Linked DNA regions of Tribolium castaneum. The protein of the gene in region 2 purifies or fractionates together with the protein of the main gene of each other region. This does not show direct contact. Links are inferred from orthologs where the notes say so. Each region holds a gene or a part of one and is shown on either strand. Other genes may lie near its edges. The genes, in order: zinc finger matrin-type protein 2 and ebo.

What was found.
Region 1: the proteins of ebo (region 2) and zinc finger matrin-type protein 2 purify together in Homo sapiens (co-immunoprecipitation; 3 studies listed by BioGRID and IntAct, with this or other methods). This does not show direct contact. The link is inferred for Tribolium castaneum from reciprocal best matches to the Homo sapiens genes XPO6 and ZMAT2.

The regions. Positions count from the first base shown.
Region 1 is NC_087395.1:20,716,770-20,719,902, reverse strand, and holds zinc finger matrin-type protein 2, read right to left. Parts: upstream 1,540-3,133; 5' UTR 1,423-1,539; coding exon 823-1,422; 3' UTR 774-822; coding exon of another isoform or gene 708-773; 3' UTR 666-707; downstream 1-665. Other genes in the region: uncharacterized protein LOC656218, read left to right, coding at 468-660, 708-773. UniProt on the Homo sapiens protein: Involved in pre-mRNA splicing as a component of the spliceosome.
Region 2 is NC_087399.1:5,109,505-5,114,072, forward strand, and holds the start of ebo (exportin-6), read right to left. Parts: upstream 2,879-4,568; 5' UTR 2,742-2,878; coding exon 2,739-2,741; intron 2,609-2,738; coding exon 2,402-2,608; intron 2,353-2,401; coding exon 2,155-2,352; intron 2,111-2,154; coding exon 1,933-2,110; intron 1,854-1,932; coding exon 1,615-1,853; intron 1-1,614. UniProt on the Homo sapiens protein: Mediates the nuclear export of actin and profilin-actin complexes in somatic cells.

The DNA.
Region 1 (3,133 bases), on a different chromosome or scaffold from region 2:
CTCCAATTTCTGTTGTTCTGGCACTAAACCAGCAAAAAACTCTTTTAACAATCCGGGGAAAAACATTTCTGATACGACATACATGAAAGCATGACGTCAAGTCAAAGACATTTCATTGGTTTATTTGTAAGTGGTCGATATGGAATTTAGTAAAATTCATTTTTACAAAAAATAAAGATATTTTCACACCACACGCCACTGCGTTTTAACGCGATTACATCGAAAAGTTCGTTACGAACTTTGAAAAAATCGCCAAATTAGCCAAAAATATTGTTTTTACTTTTTTCAAGCCTTCAACAAGTTTTGGAGCTAAAAAGTTGAAAATATGCAATCAAGTTTGGTGCAACGGCAACTTAATAAAATATAATTAACATTTGAATTTAATAGTACTTACATGTTACCTTTGAGTGTTACGAAACTTATTTAACATCATGGGCTTCTTTGATCAAATATTTAATTGTTTTCAGGGCTTACAAAGACATAGCTGACTGTTATTACATCAAAACTGCGAAAGTGTGTGGAAACAGCGCTGCAGCAACAACTAAAGAACTTCTACAGTCGATAATTGACAGTATTCTCACAATAAGCTGTGACAATGTGAAGGAGACGCCCAAAGTCAAGGACCCAATGCCTGAGGAATATATGAAAAAAGAAAATAAGGCAACTTGTTCCTTCACATTTATTTCATTTACAATTATTTTTTACAGGCTGACACAATGATTCTTCCAACTGTACTTCACTTACTAGTTAGCATAATATTGATTTTTATTTAAACTTCAACAAATCTAAATTATTGTAATAAAGGTATTGAAAGACATTTTGCTACTTTTTTTTAGACGATCCAAAACCTGCAAATCCCATAATGCTAGCAAGCTCACTTGCTTGTTCAGATGTTTCTTCCAACATTTCCTCAGCTTTTCGCTTCTCTTTCCTTTTCTCCCTCCTGTATTCGCGTAGCTTTTCCTCTTCTTCGGCAATTTCCTGCATGCGAGCTGCCATATCGTAATCTTTTTTCTTCTCCTCCATTTTCCGCTTGTTTTGGTCAAACCTTCGTTTAACTGCGTCCAGACTGCTGCGTTCGATCCGCATCGACATTCCCAAGTTTCGTTGATGCTTTTTGCCATTGATGTGATCCAAAAAGTTGATTGAATCTTTAACAACACAGTCGCAGACGTTGCAGTAGTAGCCCCCCGATTGTGATGTTGGTGTGTTTTTGTTTATTACAATGCTTTTGCCAAGCTTTGAATCCAGGTCTACTTTATACTCTCGGGTTTTTAGCATTTCACGTTTCACCGGGGGGCCTTTCTTTTTCTTGGTTTCTTCTTCGAGGCGCTCGATTTCTTCCCTCTTGCGCTCCTCGGCTAACCTCTCGTATTCGTCCCTGTCCCATTTTCGGCGGTGGTCGTCTGGTCGCATAGTCATTTCTGATGATTTTTCTTTAGCAGGATCACAATCAATTAATAAAAACTCAAGTACAATAACAGTGTTGACAAACTGCAGTACACATTGACAGCTGTCAAATTTTCAAGGTTAGGTTATGTTGCTAACTTCATAAGAATAAAGGTTCATTTTCTAATAAATTGCGAATTTGCGCCATTCAGGATGTTTATATATATCATTAGATTATTACAATTGAATTCATTAAACTCATAGAATACTTAATAGATTTTTTAATTTTTTGGTTATTCGACTCTGCTATTACATCTAACGAAGTTAGCTGGGTTACCTGTTTAAAAATTTAAGATGGGAAAAGATCAAAAAAATCCCGTAATCAAGACAATTAGTTATTTATTTCAATTTTTTTATTAATTTTTAAAATCTAATTCACAGAATCTTTCGTTTGCAATTTTTCAGTCTGTGGCTGTTCAAACTACCACTACGTTATGAGTTAGTTATAAGTTATAAATACCAAAGAAAAAGTGGATAACTCAAAAAATTTAAATTTTTAACAAATTATTATTTTGGGTAGGCAACACAATATTCAAATGGCAGCCTACGCAACTAATTATACAGAGTGTTCCAAGTTTTATGGTCGAAGCAAAAATTAATATTCTAGTCGAGTACAAATAAATTAAATTAATTTAAATTACAAAAAATCAAATTGAATTTAATTCAAAATTAAACTAATTCAAATTAAGTAGCATTAAATACATTGACAAATGTCGAGTTAACCGCGATTAAAATTTAATTGCAATTAAAATGTTTTGTAAACCGGCGCTCTTAGTCTAGACAATTAATTACGCTACCATTTGATATTTTGAATGTGGTCAAGTATTAATTGCTGTGAAACATTATAAACCAATTTTTTAAAATAAAGTTCAAGGTGTATTTTCTATTATATGATAAAATTCTTTCAATATTTAAAACCGTAACTGCTAACATAGAATTATACGATTGTTGCCAACTTTTGAGTAATATTATTATTATTACATTATCAGAAAATTCTGATGTGGGCTCTATTCCACAAACGACTTTTACACTTTGCGCTTGCACGTTCCCGAACACCTTTATGTTCCACCAACAACAGTATTTTGCACACTTAGCAAAAAATATACTTAGCAAAAATACTTCTTTTTACAAAAATATGCCAAAACAAATGCAAAGATTGGTGGAAGACATTAACTTTAAAATTTGCAATTTATGCAAAATGCAAAGTTGCAAAAAATTTTAGTGGAACAAGGTGATATTTAGTGATTAAGGTGATATTAAAAAAAATATCAATTTTAAAAAGCCGATTATGGCGAAACTATAAAGATTGTAATCAAAATCTATTTGATACAATATTACATGCAGCGTTGAGCAAAAGTATTAAATCAAGCGTTTTGTGCGTAAACTATGTACCTTACAAAAAATACTAATTAGTACATCATTAACTACTTTAAAAATGTAACGATTTAAAAAAAAAATTTTGTTCGAAATAATTTTTCAAAATTTCAAAAGTTAAGTAAACCTTACATTATTCAGTTAAACGAAATAAAAGGTAGGGCAAAAGTGATGTCGCATATTTGCGGTCACATATTTTATGTACTCAACGTCAGCATCAGTAGCGCGCAATAGTTAATAATTTATTTGTCCGTGTAGGTTAGAGAACATACGTTTTTTAAAACTGATTCTTATGCAAAATTTTCTGCTG
Region 2 (4,568 bases):
TTTCCCATAGTATCGTGTTTTAAATGTTCCAGTAAAAAAAATTTAACAACACTCATACGAAAACGCTTAAAATTCTCGGGTGTCTAGATATGTAACTCGCATACGCTCGTACAACAACCCTCGAACTTTAAGCTTGTGTTTTCGCACTAGTATTATATATCTATCTATAATTGACCAAAAAAACATGTGTTTACTCACTAATCTTAGTGCACAAAGCATTCGTTTTTTTTCACTGCATTACTTTGCGTACTGTAATGTAAAAATGATTGCGTTTTACGCTCTTTAATGTCAAAATTTCTAAACGTTAGAATGAGTATTAATAATTAATTTGCAGTAAAAATGTTGTATATATTACGTTCCCAAAGCTGTTTTTTAAGCTTTCGAATGTATTTTAACTATTTTTTTTATTTTTGTCACAATGTAGATGATCTACTTATGTCAACTACTGTATTGTCTTCATTCATTTAACCTTTCCCAGTAGTTAAACCTTTATGTAATGGTTATAAATGGAAAAACAAATTTGAAACTCATCACTTCATCAGTTTAATCTCCTTATTTAAAGACTTTTTTAAGTACCTACCTTATTAAAAAAAATTCATTACCATACCAAATTCATACTGAAATGTGAAGACTTTAAACAAAAAATAAATTTTAATTAATAAACATTTAAATAATTTTAGTAACATAGAAATCACACAGAAATCAGTGTTAAAAGCTTTGTTTTTTTCTACTGTGTTTGTGTATTAATTATTTTTTTCTACTTATTTACTTACCTTATAATGAAAATAAATACATATACTAGGAAAAAAAGAAAGAAGACCAACAGTAACAAACGCCTTTGAAATTTTTGACCTTTTTTTTGAACAAGAAAGTATAAAATGGTAAGAAAAAAAATTTGAATTCTCTCAGAATCCCTCCCATATAAAATAAAAATTAGGTAAAAAAAACAAAATTAGTTATTGTTTTTTTATACAAAACGATATCTCAATCTTATTTCGGACGAGTCGATTAACGAACAAATTTTTCCAACATTATTATTTCGATTAATTTTCAAAAGAAAATATTTAACAACGTATTTAGAAGATATATCTTTGTTTGAACAAAAACAAGCGATAAAGTTATCGGTTCCCGACCATTTTCTTACAGCCTGACAAATTGTAATTTTCTGTGTTTCTGCGGAAAAAAATTGAAAGATGGATCAAGGTAACGACAGATATCAACCCCCGCCAGGTAGAGGTGATAATTTTTTGTTGACTGACTTATTTACTAACATTTATTTTAATAAAACAATTAAGCAAAGTATTTTTTAGGATACCACATTTTCAAATTACGAGTTGCCGACCTCCCTGACAAAGACTTCATCGAAGTCGAAGTTTCATCCGACCAAATATCAACCTATGATGATTTTCTCAAATTTTGTTGTTACGAATTTCACATTCCGTCCACAAACTACGTGGAAAAAATTCGCAAACTGCCCTCGACCCGAGTCCGAAATGACGCGGACATACGGAGGTTCCAAACGTTTGAATCTTTCGAGCTTGTTTTAGTAAACCCGGAACGACTCAATCAAAACAAATAAAAACCAGTTGATCCGTATCGCGTTTTTATACTCACTTGAGCATAGCTGGATATGTTGGTGAAGTGAAAAATGGCTTTAATGATCGACGGGGGAATTTGGTTGATTTGCACCCAAGTAAAGAGGTGTTGCACTGTCTCCAGGGCTTCCTTATTCAGGGCTTTGCTGTCGGGCTTGAAGGTCGCAGTGGCCAGTTGCTGGGGGAGGCTGGGAGCGGACGTGGGGTGGGTTGGGGACGGGGGCGGGGTCGCTGTAGCGGTGTGTCTAGGTTTAGTGCCTACGTAATTAAAAAAAAATTTGGTCAAAGTGGGCGACTGAAATGCTGCCAACTTAATTTTCGGTTCGAGGACACGTACCTAAATTTTCGAGAATCGTGTTTAGTGAATCGAAAACCACAGGAATGTACTGATGAAGCAGTCTTGTAATTTCGTCTTTTCTACCATTCTCAAACGAGGCTTGGAGCCCCATCAACTCCTCGCTTGTCGTTTTCAGTAAAATTAAACCAATCAGTTGATTTGGTTCGGATTTCAACAACTGAAAATTTGTATCAGTTGGGTGTCTTAAACTGGGTTTTTTACCTCAATAATGTTAATAAAAAAATTCGGGTACTGCGATGGCCAGTCTTGTTTTGCTATAATTACGAGCAATTTGGCATATTTGCTCCTTATAAAATGGGGTGCGCTGTTTCCTTTCTCTATTAAATAATTGTACAGTGTGTTTTTTAACTCTTCTCGAAAAGGCCAATCAGTATTTGCCCACTGTTGATTAATCACAGACTAAAATACCAACTTATGTAAAACCACAATTTGTACAAAAAAGACATACCTCTAATGTCGATAAGGCAAACATAGTCACATATTGACTAGAGGTATTTGTAAGAAAGTACAAACACAGTTTCCGTGATTGGGGTAGGTATTTAAATGAACTGAGCTGCTGTTCAATTTCATGTTTTCGTGAATTGCTTGTGACCGGGTTAAAAAATTCATCCAGTAGGTACTCCAACGCAACCAAGGATTCATTCTCGTTACGTTCCTTCAAAAACAGGCAAAAACGTTATTTTATAAGGAAATTATTCAAAAAAATCGTTTTTCCCCAAGTGAGGTTATGTAAGTCTAACTTGGACAAGTCGCTTCAAAACCGCCGCAATCTTCCACATACTAACCATTTTTTATGTCTGCTATATCAACAAATGCATGACATTGATGCAACGATGTTAATTATTAGTAAATAACGTTATTTAACTTTACGAAATTATCAACATTTTGACGTTTCTGACGTCGGCAGTTACTTCACGTGGGCGATGTTGGCACCTTTACGGCGCATAGTTTGAAATAAACAGATATTTTTCACATTATAGCACATAAATAAATATTGATTGCCACTGCCATTATTAGTTTCTATTAGCGTTGGTATTTTCAAATTGTATTAGGTGCAACCAGGCTTGTATCTGTTATTTAGTAGTAGTAATTTACTAATATGAGCTTGGCATAATCATCAAATAATGATGATAAATCCTGCATCATAGAACATGAAACATGAACAAGTATAAATAATATAAATTGATTGACAATTTTCACTTGAGTCGGAATTCGTTCATTCCACTTATATTATGCAGCCCTGTGTGGTGGTTGCAACATTATTTTATTCCAACAAAAACACCCTTTCGCTTTTTGTTTTGTGACACCTTTGATAAGGGTGACAAATTGTTTGGGCTTTATCACATGACGTTTGTTAGATAGGGTCATATGCTGTTGTATGGCCAGAAACGGGTCAATTTTTACGCAATGTAACAATTCTTTTGTTACATACAAATTAAACCTAATTTCATTTCGGTTCATTCATCACAAAATAAAAAAACACCTCTAAACATATCAATCAAGCTCTTAACTCAGCTCGTTAAGTAACTAAATTCAAAATCCAGGTTGCCGGTTATTTAGTGTTGCATTGGCTGAATTAATCAAACTTTTGAATTGAATTGAATTGCATGAGGTTTCAGTAATTTAACTTAGCTATGTGCTCTGAGGAAGACGTACAAACTAAATTTGGAGAAGTATTTATTGTTACCGTAATGATCTCAATAATTACAATAAAAAAGTTGGTTAATAAACATTGTGACTAAAACACTAAACATAAACATTTCGGGACAGCGGTAGGAGATTTATGTTCCTTTCTTACCTAAACCTAATGCGTCTACTAGGGAAGAAACATTTGTTCGTTTTTTATGTTTATGTGAGGTTGGTCTCTTGGTTTTTTATTAGAACAAGAGAATTCACCTTTGAATGATTACTTCCGAGTTTGCAAACTTATGCAGTCCGGTACGGTTTAAAGTAAACAGAGAAATATTTTTGTAAAAAATAATCAGTCCGAATTCCGAGGCAAATGCTTCAAAAACCGCAGTTGTCGTGTAAAACACAAATTGCTCTCAAAGCCAAAGCTTCCGACTTGACTTTGTGATGTGCAATTAAACCGTGAGTGATCCCTCTGTTCGAGCCTCCAGTCGGTTTAGTTGGGAAAGGAAGAAAATGATTGACTATTTCTGCATTAAATTTTATTTATTCACGATCAAGCGCGAATCAACGTTTCTTAATTAAGCGCACACAATTTCAGTCACGCCGCTTTTTCAAAATTAAAATCCAATTGTTTGGCGACTATTCGACAATACTCAGCTATATCGGAAAAATCATGTATAAATAAAGCGGAATTTGCGTCGAAAATTGCATTTTTGCCGATTCAATCTGCGTTAGTTCGTGATGAAAGAGTAATTTTTAATTGCAGCTAGGAGTCGTAAAAATAATAATATCCCAGTGTCTGATGGAATCCGGATACAAGCTCAGAGAAGTACGTAATAAAATGACAAAAGAAATGGCCAATACAATTTTATTATTTGCGATAAAACCGCAAATAAAAAGTAAAAGCTCCTGAAAGTCAATCATAAATTCGAGCCGTAAAGTTTGGTATTTGTGTTTCGATTGTGCACATACTTAGAAGCAGC